3 linked regions of the Saccharomyces cerevisiae S288C genome follow. Changing the gene in region 2 together with the main gene of any one other region gives a genetic interaction. Each region holds a gene or a part of one and is shown on either strand. Other genes may lie near its edges.

The links. A genetic interaction does not mean that the proteins touch.
Region 1: mutations in KIN82 (region 2) and LYS21 together harm fitness more than expected from each alone (negative genetic interaction), as found in Saccharomyces cerevisiae (3 studies listed by BioGRID).
Region 3: mutations in KIN82 (region 2) and COX7 together harm fitness more than expected from each alone (negative genetic interaction), as found in Saccharomyces cerevisiae (3 studies listed by BioGRID).

Annotation. Positions count from the first base shown.
Region 1 is NC_001136.10:223,452-231,388, reverse strand, and holds LYS21 (homocitrate synthase LYS21), read right to left. Parts: upstream 3,997-7,937; coding exon 2,674-3,996; downstream 1-2,673. Other genes in the region: YDL129W (uncharacterized protein), read right to left, coding at 1-365; ribosomal protein P1 RPP1B, read right to left, coding at 862-1,068, 1,370-1,483; STF1 (ATPase-binding protein), read right to left, coding at 1,958-2,218; cullin CDC53, read right to left, coding at 4,638-7,085; SRF1 (phospholipase D regulator), read right to left, coding at 7,649-7,937. UniProt on the Saccharomyces cerevisiae protein: Catalyzes the aldol-type condensation of 2-oxoglutarate with acetyl-CoA to yield homocitrate. Carries out the first step of the alpha-aminoadipate (AAA) lysine biosynthesis pathway.
Region 2 is NC_001135.5:268,325-277,066, forward strand, and holds KIN82 (putative serine/threonine protein kinase KIN82), read left to right. Parts: upstream 1-6,079; coding exon 6,080-8,242; downstream 8,243-8,742. Other genes in the region: FIG2 (Fig2p), read left to right, coding at 1-3,939; YCR090C (uncharacterized protein), read right to left, coding at 3,991-4,539; mismatch repair protein MSH3, read right to left, coding at 8,440-8,742. UniProt on the Saccharomyces cerevisiae protein: Flippase activator that phosphorylates DFN1 and DFN2 and which is involved in the generation of phospholipid asymmetry in membranes by the inward translocation of phospholipids.
Region 3 is NC_001145.3:776,272-782,980, reverse strand, and holds COX7 (cytochrome c oxidase subunit VII), read left to right. Parts: upstream 1-3,853; coding exon 3,854-4,036; downstream 4,037-6,709. Other genes in the region: ROY1 (Roy1p), read left to right, coding at 1-361; PET111 (Pet111p), read left to right, coding at 950-3,352; GFD1 (Gfd1p), read right to left, coding at 4,414-4,980; YMR254C (uncharacterized protein), read left to right, coding at 5,058-5,366; YMR253C (uncharacterized protein), read left to right, coding at 5,791-6,709. UniProt on the Saccharomyces cerevisiae protein: Component of the cytochrome c oxidase, the last enzyme in the mitochondrial electron transport chain which drives oxidative phosphorylation.

The DNA.
Region 1 (7,937 bases), on a different chromosome or scaffold from region 2:
GTGGATGCTAAAGACCTGTTAAGCACACTTAATATGAGATCTTTCTCACTAACTAACGTTTCATCATCCCCTTCCTTTATCCTCTGTATGAGATTGAGAATTGTGTTTTCTAGTTCTCTGGTGTTTTTCAAAGATGGCATGAAGTGACTAGTAAAATTGTAGTATTCATTGTCATCAACTTTCTTCGATGAATCTGTAGTAGCGGTATCAGAGTAAGCGGGACTAAATACACTTGTGTTCTCGCTCTTTGCTTCCCTCGTGCCGACCCTCTCATTGGATTCTATGCTCCGTTCACTCTTATTCTTGGCAGGTTCCTCAGGCGTGACAAGATAGGCCTCTGCGCTCCGTCTACTTCTTAGCTCCATAGCCAACAAAATGTTAAATTCCTGTATGCCGTAGCCTTGCCCGCGTTTCGTATCAAAAGGGATGAGAAACTAAAGTGCTCAAATTTTATACGTTTCTAGTGCCTTATAGGTGTATTGCTAAGCCTGTAAGGACCGACGTATGTCCAACTTAGGGAGCTTTACATGTGTCAAAGAACCTTTCATTCCCGATGAGTAAAAATTTTAAAAATGTGCGCGGGAGAAGCTTCGGTCGGCGTCGCCATCAAAGGGCGAGCAACCATGGGTTTATGTAATTTTTGGTTGCTATGGTGACGACAGGTCTGATATCCCGCAACCAGGGGCTATCCCGCAGTGCCATTTCTAGCAAAGAACGAGATGGTTAAATTCTCGTAGCCCTTTCGTATGGACATTACTTCCGATTTTTAAATACTGATTGATTAGAGGTTTATTTTATATGTAAATATATATACATAAAGGGTAAAAAAACGTTGCAGAAAAAATGACTTTCCTTGTATGTTTAGTCGAATAAACCGAAACCCATGTCGTCGTCAGATTCTTCAGCAGCTTCTTCTTCTTTTTCTTCTTCAGCAGCAGCGTCACCACCAGCAGCGGCAGCGCCAGAAGCAGCACCAGCACCAGCAACAGGGCCAGCGTTATGGAAACCAGATAGGATTTCCTTCAAGTCCTTACCTTCCAAAGCCTTAGCGTAAACATCAGCCCAGACCTAATTCAATGATACATATAACAAGCTCCATAGGAAGAGTCGTTATTCGTTGAGTTTGTTAGTAAAATGAGATCCTTGAAGAAGTAATTCGATCCTGACTTGTGCTTTCCGTTAAATACGTTAATGGAGAAATATTTCTACATGTATTGCCCCCTAGTATCTCATCATGTTAGAGGGAAACGTTACATGGAATTTTTCTGTCCCCCATTATTCAAAATTGCGCATTTCTCGGGACGATTGTTGTCTAATCTTTCTCTTCGTAGTCACACAAAGTCGTTTTAGGTTGCATTTTTGTACATACGTTGTCGACATTAGCACCAGCGGCCTTGGTGATAGTCAATAAGTTGTCAGAGGTGATTTCCAAACCAGCATCAGCTAGGATGAAAGCAGCAAAGGAAATAATAGAGTCAGACATTTTCTTCTTAGTTGTTTGATTTCTTTGTTAGTCCAAGATTAACTGAAACTGCAATTCGTAATTTAACCTTGAAATATCACGAAGGGGCTTACAGATTCAACATCAAATGCTTATTTGGTATTACATTGGAAACTAGTTTTAGCAACCGTTAGCCGGAAGTTTCAATTCTAAGATTTCTCCTTCGCGCGACACGCAGAAATGAAAATTTTATTTTTTTTTGCGTTTCATATAATCCTTCTGATGTACGGATGTTTTGTGTAAGATATGTATGGGTTTAAAGGAATATCTGAGGAGCAAACTGAGGCGACGTTTCTCTAACTGACGGTGTTCCTGTATTCGTGACGTATATACTATATATAATGTGCAGGCTTATAAAATACCACTGATGTTCATTTCCTAATTTTGATTTGGCATGATTGCTTCTTTCTACGTACAAAACGTGTCTGCAGAACCTTTAGCCTTAACAATGACCAATCACTTTGAAAGGTTATTAATTTTGTTTTCTAAATTCTCTAATTTTTTCTTGTGTTCTTTTAGTTGTTCCTTCACATGTGCTAATTGTTCCCTCTCTTGTTGTCTGGCATAATAATCCTCTTTGGCACGTTCTCTCTTGATAAAGATATCTTGAGGATTACCAGGTCCGGCACCACCGAGAGGACCATCTGAATAAAAGCGAGAGGCAATTCTTAGGTTTACTGGCAGCCTGGTATTACGGGAAATGCAACGGTTTAACATATTGATAGCGTGTTTGGTTGGATGACTGGGTGAAAGTGCTTCTTAATATCTACAATGGAGAGCTCAATTTTCTTATGAACGACTGAACTAAATATAATAAATAATTCCCCAGCCGCCCCCTAAAAGATAATAATGATGCTTGAAATAGTTAGCAAATAGAAACCGATCATTTGACGTATATAGTGATCATTATCATAACGGAAATACTCCGTGAGAGTATAATAGCGTGGGGAATCGCACAGAGTCAATATTCATTGATCTCAATTAATTGATTAAAATACCCCGTCTTCAAGCTAGATGCAACCGCCTCAATTGAACATCGGAGTAGGAGAAAAAGCTTATTGAATAAAGTTGACGTAAATAGTAATTTTATTACGGTAATCGCCAGTACTTAAACACCTAATAACGCCCAGTATGTGTATGTTTGAAATATGTGTACTATATATATAATGAAACTATTTGGTGACCTTTGCCTTTTTAGAAACATGCCCATTGGAAATATCGATATTGTCGTCATCTGTACCCTTATTTACTGGTTTTAAAAGTGGGGTGCTCAATTCTGCATGGAAGTCCTTGATAATGGAGTCTACATCATCAATATTTAGCGGTCTGACATCACCCAGCTTCTTAATCTTAGCAGTAACTTCCTTGATTTGATCATCCGTCAAATTCAAGTTCAATTGGTCGACTCTTGATTTGATTGCATTCCAACCAGTTAGTCTGTTGGCGAAGTGGATATATCTCTTCATACCGAAATCGTGAGGGTCCAAGATTTCGTAGGTAGATGGGTTAGCCAAAATGGCCTTGGCATGGATACCTGCTTTATGTGTGAATGCACAGAACCCGGTGATAGGGTTGTTGAATGGAATGTTAACTTCCACAGCATCAGCGACCAGGTTTTCGATGTCTCTGATCTTGTGCAGCTTGTATTTAGATCTGACATAGTCTGGTGCGGCAACAATCATTCTTGCCATGAGCCCACCTAGAGGAGTGATACCGTTTCTTTCACCAATACCCAGTACACTGACGTCAATCAATCTGGCACCACCTTCCAAAGCAGTGTAGGCGTTTGCAATGGCACAACCGGTATCATTGTGGAAATGGCATTCGATGTCACATGAGACAACACTCTTCAAAGTTCTGATCAGTTCATATACTTGTCTTGGGTTGGCACATCCAACTGTGTCGGCAATACCGACTCTATTTACACCGATCTTGTCAACGGTTTTATAAATGTTCAAAAGATCAACGAGATCACTTCTGAAGGAATCTTCAGAGGAAAATCTGATTTCAATACCTTTGGATTTGACAAATTCAATGACTTCAACAGCACTCTTGGCGATGTAGTTCATATCCTTACCGTGGGAATATTGTCTTAAAAATTTGGAGGTGCCGATAACAACATCGACACCGTCGACACCAGTCTCTACGGCGACTCTGGCATCGTCCATGTGACAACGAATGTGTGTAAGGATCTTGGCCTTTAAACCTAGTTTACATATAGCTTCACAGTCCTTTCTTGATTGTTCGGATGCTACGGGAGAGGTTAACTCGATGTAGTCCACACCGAAATCATCCAAGGCTCTAGCAATTTCAATCTTTTTTTCAGTATCGAAGAATGCGTTGGCAAATTGTTCACCCTCTCTTAGTGTTGAATCAATCAACTGGAAATTCTTAACATTGGATAGATAATCCGCAGGATTTGGGCCATATGGGTTACTAGTGGTTGGAGCAGTCGTCGATTCGGTGACACTCTGGAATTCGTTATTTTCAGACATGGTTTGTTAAAGTATACAATTACTTGGGTTGTCGTTGCACTTTTAAATGTGTAGCAAATAAAGGCCTAAACGCAACAAGAAGAAAGATAAATTTTGAAATCTGTTGCATATATATATTAGTATATAAGAGACTGCATGAAAATGCGAACAAACGCATGCTCAACACCACTCATGCGCAATATCGTAGAATCACACACAACGAGAACGATCAGCTTGGCATCTTTGCAAAGTGACTAATTTTCGCTGTTCCACCACTATCGCACATTGCGCGACGTGATTTCTACGCGGATTTCTTGGAGCTGGTAGCTGCTGGTGACGATTTCCAGCGGAATTTCAACTCTGCCACTGACTGATCCTTGTTGTCAGTCTCATCATTTCAGCCTGATCTCTTCTCAAGCAGGCCGAAAAGCCGCCCGGTAAAGGATGTTACAACGGAAAGAGAAGTGCCATATCTTCATACTATGAGATTCTCAAGAGGTCAAAGACTCTTCATAGTTCAGTTGAATACACACAATTACACACACACACATATATATATATACATATATATATATATATATATATATATATATATATGTATACGCTTATGTATTTACTCGTAGGATTTGCTTCGTTCGATCAGCACAAGCCTTCAAAGATGATTAAGCAAGGTAAGCATACGATTCACCATCGTCTCCCCTCTGTAGGTATCCCTTTTGTATTAAGCTATCGATGGCTCTCTTGACCATAGAAACCTTTGCATTGAACCTTTGGTGTGATTGCGCAATGCATTCGTTGACCAATGTTGTATGTGGCAGATTTCTTTTCGCTTTCATTATTCTCACAATACAAGCTTCCAAGAAAATCTGCCTTTCTGTATTCAATTCTTTTTCTATTCTTTCGTCTTCCGTCAAGCGTTTGTTTCCTAACTTATTACCGTGATTATCGTGGCCTCCACCGGATAGCGATTGCAGAATGTCGTTTTTGACTCCGCTAGCGAAATTAATATTGGTCTTAAGCGCCTTATAAGGACGTGATAGCTTGAATTGTGTTTCAGGTTTCACGAGAGCATCTAGCCCTGGTGGGACCTGTTGAATCAGTTTGAATTTGATGAATGGTACCATTGCCGCTGCGATGTGCTGAATGGTTAAGCTCGTGCCCTCTTGAATATTTTCTAAGGTTAATACATCAGCATCGTTATATAGTAGCAAAATTGCCATTTGAAACAGTGTTACCGTAAAGTTGAACGGCATCCTGCCGGGTTTTCCAATATCTGCCTTCAATTCGCCACGACATAATGGCCATAGCCACTTCAATATTCTACCATTATGCTTTTGGCTGTATGACTCCTTCAATTTTTCGTGAGATGGTACCAATTCCTTGGGTAGCTTAAATTCAACTTCTTGGTATGAAAATGGCCACATATTTTCTGCCAATACAAATGGTTGTAGATCTGGATATTTTGCTTTAGAGTAATCTGGTTCATTCTTCAGGGCGACAGCAAAATCGTCTTCCAAGATCTTGGAAAGTCTAATATCTTGAAACATTTTAGTTATCTTGCCTGTATATTCCATACTATTTGCCGCTTGCAGCCTTTGAATAATATTTTCTTCGTCTTCTGCTGATGTTGAAGTGCCATGAATTAAACGCTTGGCGAAAAGTCTTCTATAATGAGTTTCGAACGCATCTTTGTCGGTCAAATATTTGAATATTGTTATAATATCTTCATCTGACATGTCACTTGCCACTTCAGGTTTGGTGGCCTTCTTTAATAGTATATCACTGTACTTAGCTAGCATCTCGGAAGTCTTCGAGGTGGCACTTTTTGGAGATCCAGCAGGTAATGCGAACTCGTTGATGTTGATGAAAGCACCACACGCATTATCTAGAGCTTTAGCTAAAGGTATGTCGTCGGGGAAACTTTCATTAAAAATCTTAGAGAATATATCGTGTACTTCCAGTAATTTCTTGATATAGTCTTTAGGAGAAAGGGAGTGAGCTGTCATTAGTGCTAGTTTTTTAGGGTTTGCGTTTTCGTTTTTCATAATATTGTGTTTATGCATTGCCAGTAGACTCGAAATTTCATTCTCACCTGTCTTTTTAACATAATTTTCAAACACTGAAGCCATTCTTGGGATTAATGTAAAGTCTCTGCGTATTAGTGCGTACAAAGAAGTAATTTTTTCAATATCTCTGGCATCCAGAAGGACAACAAACTCATTTTCCAACTTTTCAATATGGTCTGTGATCAAGACCTTGTTTAATGCCATGGATAGTGGTTTTTTTGTATGATCATCCCAATATATTGTCATTGCTTTTTCCTCACGTTTGATGATTTCATGTGCTTCAAAAATATACTCAGTTACCGAGTGTTTCTCTAAATAATCGTTTGTATATTGCGTGTAGTACTCCTGAGTCTTCTTTAAAAATGGCTTTTCGAAAACTTGGATGTAGACATTTAGGTTCAACTTTTTCAAATCCTGTGGATCGATACCTAGTGCAACTAAAGACTTTATGGCAGTGCTAATATTACTTCTTTGAATTATTTGCCCCTCCCTTCCCAAGGTTACCTGGTCTAATAATTCGTTTATTAAAACATCTTTACTCGGATCAAACATGACTTCTTTCCATGTCATCAAGCACAAGGTGTTTACATCAAAAATATGCCTTTTGCCGTCACTTCTTTCCTTTTGAACCCAATATCTATTCATATAATCGAATGCATGGTTTAAAAAAATGGCACCTATTGTAAACCTTTTCCAGCGCTTGACGTAAAACTGCAAAAAGGTCTCTGAATTAGACTGCTTAAAATTTAAAATGTAATTCTTCAAATAATTCTTTAACTTTTCGTAAATCTCACTGCCAACCAAAATTGTTGATTGGCCAGTTCTACTGTCAGTACTAAAATGTCCAGACGAGCGTGATTTGTTCACACAGTAGTTATAAATTGCGGTATAGACTTCCATATACATGGTTGGAGAAAGAATTTTGTAAACTCGCTTAGACGTGGATGCTTGGTTTTTCTCATTACCCAGTATTTGGTTAATTCCTGGCTCTATAAAGTTCCAAGTGGCCTCTAAATCATCAGATCTAGGCAGAGTCTCAGACATGCTTTGCTGCTTGCGATTTTGTTGTTATTCTTTGTTTAGGTATATGTAAGAATCCTTTCAAGACTCAAAAATGTACGCTTATTTATCGGTAAGTAGAAGCAATGTCGAATTGCTAAAAGAAATGTGTAACTGAGGTAAAATGTAATCAACAATGAAAGGGGTGCACAGAAGTTAGAAGATGCGGATGAAAAGCTCTAAAAGAGAAAAAGGACAATATAAAAGAGCAGTGATATGAATCAATTGCGTTGTAAAGTGAAGTTCTGCTGGGGTACTTTACCTAATGCCCTAGTTTTTCTAGATGTTCTATTTGCCACATTTCACTTCATGTGTGTCCATCAAACATCGAAATGAAAAAGGGCCCTTAAAACGGAAAGGAAAAGAAAGTGCAATAGCCCTCCCTTCGGGTAATACATATTATATCGCACAAAGCCTAATATAATCAAACCCGCCGTTAATGAATAAATGCCAAGCCGGAGTAATTTTTTAAGTCAAAAATATACAATGCATATAAATGTCAATCTTGGTATCTAAAAGAATTCTTTTAATTTCTATATTTGTCGAGCTCAGTTTCTGTTGGTAATTGAACTGACTTTTTCGACTACTCTAACAATACTGATCGAGAAAGTGATTACCCACATAAACAAGGCAACGAACAGAAAAGCGGATAAAGCTTCCTGTTTTCTGCAGATACGCGGTATTTTTGGGTATCCATACGTGCTTCCATTTGACCTGCGAATAGAAGTGCAAACCCACTCTTTGTCGAAACGAGTATTAAATGCCAGCGCTAGATTAGCGCTTGAAAAAATTATAAAAAGTAAGTCCAACAAAATTAGTTTCAGTTTGCTTAACGGA
Region 2 (8,742 bases):
AACTTTACGAGCCCCCCCTCTAAAACAAGTGGTAACTACGATGTTTTGACTTCAAACTCAATAGATCCTTCTCTATTTACAACTACGAGTGAATATTCATCTACACAATTGTCGAGTTTAAATCGGGCCTCAAAAAGTGAAACAGTTAATTTCACTGCTTCTATTGCTTCCACACCATTTGGTACAGATTCGGCTACTTCTCTAATAGACCCCATTAGTTCAGTGGGTTCTACAGCATCTAGCTTTGTGGGAATTTCAACCGCCAATTTTAGTACACAAGGGAACTCGAACTATGTTCCTGAATCAACTGCAAGTGGAAGTTCACAATACCAGGACTGGTCAAGCTCTTCTCTTCCGCTGTCACAAACCACTTGGGTTGTCATCAACACAACTAATACACAAGGGTCTGTAACGTCAACCACATCCCCGGCTTATGTTTCTACGGCCACCAAAACGGTTGACGGGGTGATCACCGAATATGTTACATGGTGTCCTCTAACACAAACCAAATCACAAGCAATTGGGGTCAGTTCGTCCATTTCTAGCGTTCCACAAGCCTCCTCATTTAGCGGTAGTTCTATTTTGAGCTCCAATTCCAGCACTCTTGCTGCCTCGAACAACGTTCCTGAATCAACTGCAAGCGGAAGTTCACAATACCAGGACTGGTCAAGCTCTTCTCTTCCGCTGTCACAAACCACTTGGGTTGTCATCAACACAACTAATACACAAGGGTCTGTAACGTCAACCACATCCCCGGCTTATGTTTCTACGGCCACCAAAACGGTTGACGGGGTGATCACCGAATATGTTACATGGTGTCCTCTAACACAAACCAAATCACAAGCAATTGGGATCAGTTCATCCACGATTAGCGCCACACAAACCTCTAAACCATCTTCAATATTAACATTGGGGATATCGACCTTACAATTGTCTGATGCCACATTTAAGGGGACTGAAACTATAAACACCCATCTCATGACCGAAAGTACTTCAATCACAGAGCCCACCTATTTTAGTGGCACATCGGATAGTTTTTATTTGTGCACCAGTGAAGTTAATCTTGCGTCTTCCTTATCTTCTTATCCAAATTTTTCATCTTCAGAAGGCTCTACGGCGACCATTACTAACTCTACCGTTACATTTGGATCGACCAGCAAGTATCCATCTACTAGTGTATCTAACCCAACAGAAGCCAGCCAACATGTGAGCTCTAGTGTGAACTCACTCACTGATTTTACTTCAAATTCAACCGAAACCATCGCAGTTATATCTAATATTCACAAAACTTCGTCAAATAAAGACTATTCATTGACGACTACGCAATTAAAGACCAGCGGAATGCAAACGCTTGTGCTTTCTACTGTCACAACAACGGTGAACGGTGCTGCTACGGAATACACAACGTGGTGCCCGGCATCAAGTATTGCTTATACGACATCCATATCATATAAAACATTAGTTTTGACCACTGAAGTCTGCTCTCATTCTGAGTGTACTCCAACGGTTATTACCAGTGTTACTGCAACAAGCTCTACAATCCCCCTTTTATCAACCTCTAGCTCTACGGTATTATCTTCTACAGTATCCGAAGGTGCAAAAAATCCCGCTGCTTCTGAAGTAACTATTAATACCCAAGTTTCTGCTACTTCCGAAGCTACTAGTACTAGCACTCAAGTGTCTGCTACTTCTGCGACGGCCACTGCTAGCGAGAGTTCAACCACATCCCAGGTTTCTACTGCTTCCGAAACTATTAGCACTCTCGGTACTCAAAACTTTACCACTACTGGAAGCTTACTTTTCCCGGCTTTGTCTACTGAAATGATAAATACTACTGTGGTTTCCCGAAAAACCCTAATTATTAGTACAGAGGTATGTTCCCATTCCAAATGTGTCCCAACAGTCATTACCGAGGTTGTTACTTCGAAAGGCACGCCTTCTAATGGACATTCTTCTCAAACTCTACAAACGGAGGCAGTAGAGGTGACATTGTCATCCCATCAAACCGTAACTATGAGTACCGAAGTATGTTCTAATTCGATTTGCACACCGACTGTTATTACATCTGTGCAAATGAGAAGTACTCCTTTTCCATACTTAACTTCTTCAACGTCAAGTTCCTCTTTAGCCTCCACCAAAAAAAGTTCCTTAGAAGCCTCCTCAGAAATGTCCACCTTTTCTGTCAGTACGCAAAGTTTGCCTTTGGCATTCACAAGTTCAGAAAAACGCTCCACCACATCTGTCTCTCAATGGTCAAATACCGTTTTAACTAATACAATAATGTCCTCTTCTTCTAATGTCATATCAACAAATGAAAAGCCCAGTAGTACTACCTCTCCATACAACTTCTCTTCGGGGTACTCTTTACCTTCTTCTTCTACACCTTCCCAATATTCACTATCTACAGCTACTACAACAATCAACGGAATCAAAACTGTGTACACAACTTGGTGTCCATTGGCAGAAAAATCTACTGTAGCTGCTTCTTCTCAATCTTCCCGCAGTGTTGACAGGTTTGTTTCGTCGTCAAAACCATCCTCATCTTTATCTCAGACCTCTATTCAATATACATTATCTACTGCTACCACCACCATAAGTGGTTTGAAGACTGTATACACGACTTGGTGTCCATTAACAAGTAAATCGACTTTAGGTGCTACTACTCAAACTTCCTCGACAGCCAAAGTTAGAATTACTTCCGCTTCATCTGCAACATCTACTTCTATTTCTTTGAGCACTTCAACAGAATCAGAATCTTCATCTGGATATTTGTCGAAAGGAGTATGCTCAGGTACTGAATGTACGCAAGATGTGCCAACACAATCATCCTCACCTGCTTCAACGTTAGCATATTCCCCCTCTGTTTCTACATCATCATCATCATCATTCTCAACAACAACTGCATCAACACTAACGTCAACACACACCTCTGTCCCGTTATTACCATCATCTAGCTCTATATCAGCATCTTCGCCATCATCAACTTCGTTGTTATCCACTTCTTTACCATCTCCCGCTTTTACGTCATCAACACTTCCAACAGCAACAGCAGTATCTTCCTCCACTTTCATAGCGTCTTCTCTACCATTGTCCTCTAAATCATCATTGTCGTTATCGCCAGTCTCGTCGTCTATTTTGATGTCTCAGTTTTCATCATCATCATCATCATCATCATCATTGGCATCGTTGCCATCTCTTTCTATATCACCAACTGTTGACACTGTTTCTGTTCTACAACCAACTACTTCCATCGCAACACTAACTTGCACAGACTCACAATGCCAACAGGAGGTATCCACTATCTGTAATGGATCCAACTGTGACGATGTGACTTCAACTGCCACTACTCCTCCATCTACGGTTACTGATACTATGACATGTACTGGATCTGAGTGCCAGAAAACCACATCTAGCAGCTGTGATGGTTACTCGTGTAAAGTATCCGAAACGTATAAATCAAGCGCTACAATATCTGCATGTAGTGGAGAAGGATGCCAAGCTTCCGCTACAAGTGAGCTAAATTCTCAATACGTCACGATGACGTCTGTCATTACCCCAAGTGCCATAACAACAACATCAGTGGAAGTGCATTCAACTGAATCCACTATATCAATTACTACAGTGAAGCCAGTTACATATACATCCAGTGATACTAATGGAGAACTGATAACCATAACAAGTTCCAGCCAAACTGTAATTCCATCAGTAACGACGATAATAACGAGAACAAAAGTGGCCATAACTTCAGCACCAAAGCCAACAACTACGACCTATGTCGAGCAACGACTTTCCTCCAGTGGGATTGCTACTTCTTTTGTTGCTGCTGCATCCTCAACTTGGATTACTACACCCATTGTCAGTACGTATGCTGGTTCGGCGTCAAAATTTCTCTGTAGTAAGTTCTTTATGATAATGGTAATGGTGATCAACTTCATTTAATTTCCCGTATATATTATATGTACGTATATATGCTATAAACAGACACTCTTTTTACTTACCTTTAATAATGCTTGATGAGAAATCAGTCATTGTTACTTCTTCCCCAAGGTTGTCATCATAATCATACCATTCATTATCCTCTAGTTGGCATGACATTACTTTCCCCGAACTTAGAGAAACTTCAAACGTTATGGTGTCGGGATAAAATTTGATTAATTCACAACCTCTGCAATCAAGGCTTAAAGGAATGAAAGAATCTTCTTTGACCTTCGATAAACCATGCTTCTTCCGCACATCTTTTATCTTGGCCCATTTGTCGTCACTCTGATCAGTTAAATATTCATCCTCAAAAGCGCACAGGTTAACTGACAATTCTTTTGAACAAAATTTACACTTCATCAAGAAAGATGCGGTACCTTTTGATGCCGGCATAGCATATTCTTCAAATGTATTGATGATGACTTTAGAATCGTGTAATTCTCTACAACTGGTACATTGTAGATCGAAGGCAAATTCTGCCCTTGATTCGTTTGTATTCTCAATTGAAACCTTGGTCACGTTTTCTGATAATGTTGCTTTCAGAACCAAAAATAACGGCATTATCGTACACAACCTGGTTTTCTTTATTGGTTAAGTTGTCTTTATTCAAAATTTTTCATTACTTCTTATAAACAGCTTCTTGACGCTTGTAATTTCATAAGTTTTTGATACAAGCAATGGAAACAAAATTAAGAAAATGTAGGCAACGAAGAACTAAATTTGAAAAAAAAAAAAAAAAAAATTTACTGCCAAGATCATCTAAATTATCTTATAGTAGCAAAGCTTGAGCATAAAAGGATCAATCTTTTAGTTTTTTATGGCAAAGTACATTTGCAGTAAGTAATTAGTGATGAGATAAACAAAGAATAATAATCCAATTCGAAATCAAAAATTCAAACAACAAAAAACATAATTTCACATATATATCTAATTCATTCACGAAAAACACGTCAGTTCCTTCTGTCTGTTGTAAATAGGATGCATCCGCAGTGAATCATGGAAATATTTCAAAACTTTCAGCCCAATCATTTTATTTGGTCAATGAAGCCATAAACGCTCCGTAATTCTAAGATTAAAAAAAATTCATAAAAATAAGGACCAATATAAATATATATATTTAATGTGCTAGTGACAATCCTAGTGATAAAATTGCAAATTATACTACAATTGGTCATGGTGAAGCCTAAACACACCATTACGTCTTCACAGTGTTATTCATTTTATTTTCAAAGGTATGCTACTACTAATGCACCAGTGTATACCATGATACGGTGAAAAGGGCATGTAATATTGCGTTAATTTGTCGATAACCTTTCTTTACGTTTAAATTTTTTTTTTATAACTGGCGACACTAAACTTCTCGATAAAATACAACATAAAAAGCAGTACCTAGCTAAGCGAACAACAGATAATAAATAGCTAAACATCTAGGTTAATAGCCAATTAGCAATACATTTAAGGATTGATAGTGTGGTATTTACAAGGTAATAGCCCGCTAGGCTATAAGGAAACTACTCTAAATTCACCTTCCATATATGTGACTGCCAAGAAAATATTACTAGTTATCAAGCTTTTTTTGTGTGCATTCAACTTCAACGAATCCTTCGTCATCAATGAAACAAAAGAACAAGCCAGAACTGAAAAAAAAAAATCAAAACCACTAAGAATGTCACATCCTTCCAAAACTCCTGCTGGCTCTTCAACTCTTCAAAGAATATCAAGATAAATATCATTATCTCCAGTGTGGCCGACCCATGCATGAGTGCGAGGAGCATTAAGTTGGATCCTGGGAAAACATGTCAAGGACATTCAATAAAGTACTTTTCATACTACAACAGACGCTAGAAGAACTAGAATGTAACCGTGAACTGCCTCTCAAACACATAATTATGATAGCGCCGTCTTCGGCATCCTTTTTCGGAAATATACTTTCCTTTTTCCCTCTTTCAGCTATATTGTTCAAGGAGTAACATAAGACATAATAACCCCAGTTTTTTTAGAGAAAGTTCTTCTTCTTTAATTATAGTATGTTTGAAACGTACAAGAATTCATTGAGTGCCCTAAGGATTACTGCAAACAAGGTTCAACAGTGTTGGTACACATGACTCAGCAAGAATACCGTTCCCCCTCACAACGCTTATCCAAGGGGAGGAGCATGTCGCTACCCAAAATATTTGCTCGTAATTTGAGATCTCTGCAAAACAATGCACCTCCTGGCAAAAACATCAATGTCAATTGTTTGAACGTCAATTCTTGTTCGTTGTCCGCAAGCCCAAGCTCACAAATTAATATGGCTTGTAATGGAAACAAGCAAGATCTTCCCATACCGTTTCCCCTGCATGTAGAATGCAACGATAGCTGGTCAAGCTCCAAACTTAACAAGTTCAAATCAATGTTTAATCATAACAGATCAAAGAGCAGTGGTACTACAGATGCGTCAACTTCAGAAAAAGGTACGCATAAGCGTGAACCCCGGTCGACGATACATACAGAGCTGTTACAAAGTTCCATTATCGGTGAGCCAAATGTCCATAGTACTACAAGTAGCACACTTATACCCAATGAGGCGATATGCTCCACACCTAATGAGATCTCAGGTAGCTCTTCTCCGGACGCGGAGTTATTTACCTTTGACATGCCCACAGACCCGTCATCCTTCCACACTCCTAGCTCCCCAAGTTATATAGCAAAGGACAGTAGAAACCTGAGTAATGGATCTTTGAATGATATTAACGAAAATGAAGAGCTCCAAAATTTCCATAGAAAAATCAGCGAAAATGGCAGTGCCTCCCCCCTGGCTAACTTGTCATTATCCAATTCACCAATTGATTCCCCAAGGAAAAATAGCGAAACCAGAAAGGATCAAATACCTATGAACATAACACCACGTTTAAGGAGGGCCGCTTCCGAACCGTTCAATACGGCAAAGGATGGGTTAATGCGGGAAGATTACATTGCCTTGAAACAACCTCCAAGCTTGGGAGATATTGTAGAACCGAGGAGATCTCGTCGTTTAAGAACCAAGTCATTCGGTAACAAGTTCCAAGACATTACTGTCGAACCTCAATCCTTCGAAAAAATTAGACTACTTGGCCAAGGTGACGTAGGTAAAGTGTATTTAGTGAGGGAACGCGATACCAACCAGATATTCGCCCTGAAAGTTTTGAATAAACATGAGATGATCAAGAGGAAGAAAATTAAACGAGTACTCACTGAACAGGAAATTCTCGCGACAAGTGATCATCCATTTATTGTGACACTGTATCATTCCTTTCAAACCAAAGACTATTTGTATCTCTGTATGGAATACTGCATGGGAGGGGAATTCTTTAGAGCCTTACAAACAAGAAAAAGTAAATGCATTGCAGAAGAAGATGCGAAGTTTTACGCCAGTGAAGTAGTAGCAGCTTTGGAATATTTACACCTACTGGGCTTCATATACAGAGATTTGAAACCCGAAAACATATTACTGCATCAATCTGGTCATGTCATGCTTTCTGACTTTGATTTATCCATCCAAGCAACGGGATCAAAAAAACCCACCATGAAAGACTCTACGTATTTAGATACAAAAATTTGTTCAGATGGATTCAGAACTAATTCCTTTGTTGGTACTGAAGAGTATTTAGCTCCAGAAGTAATCAGAGGGAATGGCCACACTGCAGCAGTAGACTGGTGGACTTTAGGAATATTGATTTACGAGATGCTATTTGGCTGTACTCCATTTAAAGGAGATAATTCAAATGAAACATTCTCTAACATTTTAACCAAGGACGTCAAATTTCCACATGATAAGGAAGTTTCGAAGAATTGTAAAGACCTGATAAAGAAACTACTAAACAAAAACGAGGCAAAAAGGCTTGGTTCCAAATCAGGAGCTGCAGACATAAAGAGACATCCCTTCTTCAAAAAAGTTCAGTGGTCGTTCTTAAGAAACCAAGACCCCCCTCTAATACCTGCATTAAATGATAACGGCTGCGAACTTCCTTTTATATTGTCTTGCAATAAACACCCGAAAAGGAACTCAGTGAGTGAACAGGAAACCAAAATGTTCTGTGAGAAAGTTGCAAACGATGATGAAATTGATGAGGCTGATCCATTCCATGATTTTAATTCTATGAGTTTAACGAAGAAAGATCACAATATCTTAACCTACTCTGAAAATTATACCTACGGAAAAATTCTATACAAAGCAACTTGTACAAGGCCAAGGCATAACAGCTCACATAGAAGTTTCTTTAAAGACATCATACCTGAACTATAACATGTTTACAGAAAGATAAACCCATGGCCAAATTTCTGTATTGTTTCTCTCAATTTATCTTATGATAAAAATGTAAAAAATTATTTAAAAGTAAACAAATAAACAAAGGAACAATTCAAAAACGAGAAAGTGAATGAAAAATATAATATCATTTATTGTCTGATAATGCTGCATTTAGAACATACGTACCATCCGCATCAGTGGATATCCAATGATAGTAATTTCGCGAGTTTATCCGTTGCTGTTATATTATCACTTTTTAATATTCTTTTCAAAGAGCTGAATAATTTCAACGCGTCTTCGTTAATGGATTCCTTCCGCAATTCTTCTGAAATACTGAATGCCCGATTTATAATATCTTTGTCCAGGCGTGCCAATTTCGCCACATTCATCCCATAACTATTATAAGTCAATCCCTTTTTTAACTTATATAGAAAAATTACACTCATCCAGTCCTCGCCAGTTTTTTGTTCTTCCACGTAATCCATATGATAATTCCT
Region 3 (6,709 bases), on a different chromosome or scaffold from region 2:
TTCGACCCCGGATGCAAGATACTTGGATATTATACCGATAGTGTTTGCAGCATATACTGGAAAATCTCTAGCTAAGAGGTTTGATCCTCAGAAGAACTGGGATTTGGATTTACTACAGTATGCCCCTGAGGATACGACGTGGAATTTCCATGGCTTTGAGAGAATTCATCACTTTGCAAGTTATGAATGTTATTTTGACGAATCCTCATTTGAGCCCTTAGCCACTATTATATCGCATTTTTTTTATCCTTACATGAACTACTTGATAAAGATATTGCCAAACCTTCGCCAAACTATGTTGTCAGGAATATACTTTAGCGTGAGCCCAGAATTACACACTTATGAAACTATTTATGATTAAACTTGATAGTTGTGATAAACATTTCTTATGTACATTTGTTGAAGGAGTTCGTATATATACAGCCAGTTGAGTAATAATTATATTTTACTATTGCATTTCATAATTATTACCCGGACCTTACGAGTTCTTCGAATAATAACCATATATTTCAGAAAGGTAGGCATACCGAAGGAAGAGACAATGAAAAAACTGAAATGAACAAGCTTCTGTATACGATCCAAGGATCAGAAACGGTTGTTATTTATTGTTTGGACTTCTTGTTGTTAGGCTTTATTTACCGTGCATAATACTATCTGATACTTTGAGAAACCCCTCCCCCCACAGAAAGGTTCAAAATTTACAATTGCTGCACTAGGTCTACACTTTCCTCTAGATTTGTAACTTGAAGACCCCATTCCAATCGTTTAACCTGTCTTTCCTTTTATTATCGTTTTATTCTCTTCCTTTTTTATAAAATTCTATCTGGTATAGAGCATTTTTATGTTGATCATAACTTTTCATGTATTCTATTAATTACACCACAACTTTGATATCGTCAAATTTTTTATCACTACCTATTAAATTTAAACAATTGCTTACGAGAACTTAATGTTACAACGGAGATTTATATCCTCCAGTGGTATAAAGAGATTACTTCACAGAGAATCAAACAAGGTTATGCACACTGTTTTCTTTAAAGTACGATATTACTCAACTGAGTTGATCAAAAAAAAGCATAAGGAAGATATTGAGGATTGGGTTAAAGCGCAACTAAAAGATTCTTCAACAATAAGCGGTGTGTATGAGTCTCGGAATAAACTCGATTGGATGGACTCCATTACCAAAAGCCCCAGCAGCTTAGATATTCTTAAGAATCAATATAATATAGTGAAAGACAAAGATTTTGGAATATTGTGGAAGCAAAAATTCGAAAGTGCAGATCCAGATATTTTGATGACAATAATTAGCCTTTCCACTAACCAAAAGGTTTTGTTTTCAATACAGCAATTACTGATCTTAATAAATTCTCTTCACTTTTTGAAAAGGGACTACGATATTGGACAAATATACACAACATATGAGCAATTCACGCCCTTATTAGCAAGCCACACTGATAAAGGCACATATGGTCAGTTCATCGAAATTATGTTGGTAGTACAGCATAATTTACATCATTTTGATGTCTGTGAAACTTTATTTGCAGAATATATCAAATATTGCAAAGTAAAGCCACAAATGATATCTTTAGGATTAAACTCTTTCATAAGGAGTAATAACACTCAACTAGCGGTGGAATTTTACACGCAAGCAATTACCAATCCTGATACATTTCCAATAACTGAAAAGCAGCTTTTTGAGTTTCTCCGATGTATGGAAAGATATCTAGATATGTCCAGTATGAAACACATCTTTTATCTCTGGTTGAAAGTGAAATGTGGTGATGAGCAATCCTCTTCAACTAACCTTCCCTCGTTCAAAACCCTCGCGATAATACACAGAATGTTATTACGTTTTTCTAATACAGATGAGCTAAACGATTTTTTAACCAATCCCGTTGTTTTAAGTACGGGATATACATCAAGTGTGCAGTTTGAGTTGATTGAATTTTGTCATTCTCTGTATTGCATCAAAGGAGACAGAACAAAAAGCATTGATGACTCAATATTGATGGAAAGAGTTGATAAATTTATTACCAGACTTAATAATAATATTTCAACACGAAAAGAGCTATATATGTCAGTGGTTCAAGCGTACGTCTCTACTAACAATTTCGAGAATTTAAAAGTAATCTTGGAAAAAATCCAGAGAGATAATGATATTAGCATAGACGGTTCGTTTCATTTGTGCATTTCTAGGTATTTTGTCAACACCAATCAATTCGAAGGACTTTTCAAATATTATCGCAGTGTAGTTAAAACCACTGATGGTAAAACGCGATTACGGCCCGCATTTATTCAACAATTATGGTCATGTGCCGTAAATGTTTATCCAATGCTGGCAAAAGAAATTACAAATGACCTACTTGTGACTCTAAAAAGGAGCCAATACAGCAAATGTCTCACTTGGGTGTACACATTTTTACAAGAAAATGCCCATATCCATACGAGAAAGATCAATGGAGGAGAAGACTCTTCGTTATCTGGTTTCAACGCGGTTGATTTTGAAAGGTTTGAAGAGTTCAAGAAAAAAGTTTCTCACAATGATGTATATGGAGCAGAATTGGTGATTTCGAATAGTTTGAAGGAGGGCATTGCGCCTCAATTTTCATTTTTGTATTCCGTTTTGGCATTATGCTTGAGAAACTCTTTAACTGGTTTGGCACGTGTAGTTGATGTGATATTAAGGACCAGATTCCGCTATATCCCACTAAAAGTCGATATATTATGGTTGAAATGGGAGATCATTTCTAATTATAGATCTTTTGAAAAGTTGTCTGCTGAACATTTAAAAGAACTGGAATTCAAACTGAAGGAATTTGAACGAGTACATCAAAAGGAGCTTTCAGTTCAAAACTATTTACAACTTACTCAAATATGTTTCCACACCCGTGATTTCAAATATGCATGTTACCTAATTTCACAAGCTAGAAAAAATTTGGATACTTCAAATAACAAACAGTGGATGATGTATTACATGACATCTTTAAAGTTGGCGTCAAGAATGCATGAAAGCGAACGGTTTAGTAGGATTTTAAAAGACTGGAATTGTAATCATAGGGCAAGCCTGATTACTCCAGGTTGCATTAGACAAATCAAAGGCTTTATGAAATATTTTGAGAAAAGGCCTGCTTACATTTCAACTGCTGCTTCCATTGATAACAAGGAGATAAAGGATCGCATTGACGAGTTAGTACTTAGATATGTGGACTATAAATACCAGGGGCTTGAGAATATGAGAAAGTTAACACTTTTCTTAAAAGAATGGTTTGATGAAGAGATTTCACTATTAAAGTTGGAGCAAAATGAAAGGAAAATGAAGCTTTTTGAAGAGAATAAAAAGGAGGAGGAGTAATCTTTTCAGTTATTTACCTTCCTTTCTCTCACGTGTAAATATTTGTGTGTCATACACACCGCTAAAAACCTTTGCATCAACTTATACCCTACATTTCTATAGACGCTATTTGGAAACAAGATGTAACCCTTTTTTTCTTTTAGTTTTGAGATTTGTACTCGTAAAGAGTACGTTTATTTATTTATTCAAATTTTATTCTTCATACCATGTAAATATAAGCGCATATAATCACTACGATCTTAGTACAGCTAGAATTGCTGACGCTTACAATTGCTTTATTGTTTGATTATATGCACGTATACATATAGTGTCAGCAAAAAAAAAAAAAGGCAGTACTTGATTGGCTACGCCGCGCATCGTCCGAGAAATCCGGCCTGGTAGGGGCAGGTTTGAAAAGGCGGATAGAAATAAAAGATGATATTATTTATTCATCCCATGAATAGTAGAACTCGATATAAGATTCTAAACCAACAAGTACAGAAAGCAAAACAATAATAAATAATGGCTAATAAAGTTATTCAACTACAGAAAATCTTCCAATCTTCCACTAAACCTCTATGGTGGAGACATCCAAGGTCAGCTTTATACCTGTATCCATTTTATGCTATTTTTGCGGTAGCCGTCGTTACACCACTTCTATACATTCCAAATGCTATTAGAGGTATCAAAGCCAAGAAGGCATAGTTAGGTAAAAATAACATCCGTTCATAGCATCTTTATAATTGTTCTTTGATATTAAGTGTGTATGCTCAATACACATCACCCAAAACATTTTTATTCGAAATAAGATGAAAGCCATTTATTTATATATACATATATAATATTCTAAAGAATAAGGAAACAACTAATCGAACTAGCATAGCCTTTTCCATCTTTGTTTTCTTGCGCAGTAATAAATCGTTTCAGTTAGGCCTGGCAATAAAGATTTGCTAATCATTGAAAAAGGTGTGATTGATTTTCTCACTTGAAGTATGTCTAGTATTTATTAAACAATTATAATGGTGTAAACTAATGTCTCTTCAAGCAAAACGTGCTTAAAAGTGTCCATGTGATGGGAGGGATCATATTTTCAAAGAGGTCTTCAAACGTTGAAGGATAAGCTCCTCTTCATCATCGTCAACCCAGTTGGAGCTCCCTTCATCGTTCAGAAAATCCATCAACACTTGTTGCTGTTGATTCTTGTGATGAGTCTTTTGCAATATTTCCCTCTGCTCTTCAATTTTCTTTTTTAATAACTTCATCTTAGAAGCGGTATCCTGTTTGGATTGTGTTTTGGTAGTTTTCATCTTGCTAGGTGAAACTGGTGGAGGAGATATCTCTGTTGCTTTTTGGGAGAAAGGATTTATCGCCAATGATTCACTTACAGGCGATATTTTGCCCTGACTATGAGGCGGCTTCTTTTCTCTGGGAAGAGTTTCCTTTATTTTATTTTTCGTTTTACTTTCGTGGTTACCTTTGTTATTCTTCACTTTGTTTACAGAATCTTTTTTCTTATTGTTTGAACTTGATTCATTACTCCACCTGCTATTATTATTCTTTTTATTGTTATTACTCCGCTTGTGACTTGGTTTCTGCTTCTTTATTGGTTCTTCGTCAGGGGCATCGGCCCATATAGATTCTAAAGGCATGATAAATAGTAAAAATGATATTGAAGGTATTCTCCTATCAAAAATAGCTTCTCACCCCGCTGTTAGAGACTAGCTCAATGGTGCCACTGATATTGCTTATCTTACTTTTTTCTAAATTTTCAACATTTCTGCGCCCTGTAAATCACGTGCTCGTTACAAAATACACTGCCATAGTAAATACAAAATGGCAAACAACGCCCAGCATCATTGATGTTACATATACTATGCACGTTTTTTATATGACGATAATACTTATTTTGGTCAGGAAGCAAATGCAGTCCATACATGCGTTTCTGGGTAGTTTATGCTTACCCTCCCACGTGCTAGATTTTTCGATTGTAAGAGATATTTTATCATGGTATTTCCTTGAGACAGTCGCAGTATGACACGATATGTACAAAAGCATAAGTGACGGGATGATTACAGAAAGCTTGTTCTATTACTTCATTAACTCGCGCAAGCCAGCAAGTCTGCCGACACATCGATATATTGACATATATTTACTTGACGTAGAGACCCCAGATACCGTCATGAGGCATTTTCCTAACTAGGAAATGCACCTTAATTTGGTAAAAAGATACCGGCTAACGGTAAGGGATAGGGCTCCTAAGGGCCCTTCCAAAGATCGCAGAATGGTGCGAATGGTAGTTGGATATTTTGGACAAAGATGTGGAATTGGAAAGCGAGATGTTCTTTGATCTACTTTAGAATTTTTCTTATTTCAGTAAAATTCCTTTTTTTTCCTTCTTAAGTTTTCGTAGGCATGAATTTGTTGTTGCTGTGGTGAAGAAAATAGATAGAGATAAGAAAATGAATCCATCAGTACCGAAGGTTATGAAAAGAGAAAACAATACACACCTACTAGTTTCTAAAGAAATGAATGATACGAGTTTGCAACTACCGTCTACTACGAGATCACTTTCACCGAAAGAGTCAAACAGCAATGAAGACTTTAACGTCGATGGCAACGAAACAACGCTGCAAAGAATAAGTAAAGATTATTTGAAACCAAATATTGGGCTTGTTCTCTTGACAGTATCATATTTCTTCAACTCGGCCATGGTGGTGTCTACTAAAGTCTTAGAAAACGACCCCGATGATATTGCCAATGATAGACAGATCAAGCCATTGCAAATCTTATTAGTTAGAATGGTAATAACATATATTGGTACATTGATATACATGTATATTAATAAGAGCACAATTTCGGATGTACCATTTGGTAAACCTGAAGTACGCAAATGGTTAGTATTGAGAGGTTGCACTGGATTTTTCGGTGTCTTTGGAATGTATTATTCGTTAATGTACTTGACGATTAGTGATGCCGTTTTGATCACTTTTTTGGCACCATCACTAACAATATTCCTGTCGTGGGTTATCCTGAGGGAAAGATTCACCAAAGTGGAAGCGCTCGGTTCGCTGATCTCATTGCTGGGCGTGGTGTTAATTGTAAGGCCTTCATTTTTATTTGGAACTCCCGAATTGACCGACTCTTCCTCTCAAATAGTAGAATCATCGGACCCAAAATCGAGATTGATTGCCACTTTGGTTGGGTTGTGGGGTGTTTTAGGGATGAGTTGCGTCTACATCATTATTCGTTATATTGGTAAGAGGGCTCACGCTATAATGAGTGTGAGTTATTTTTCTTTGATCACAGCGATAGTGTCTTTCATTGGGATTAACACTATCCCTTCAATGAAATTCCAGATACCACATTCCAAAAAACAAT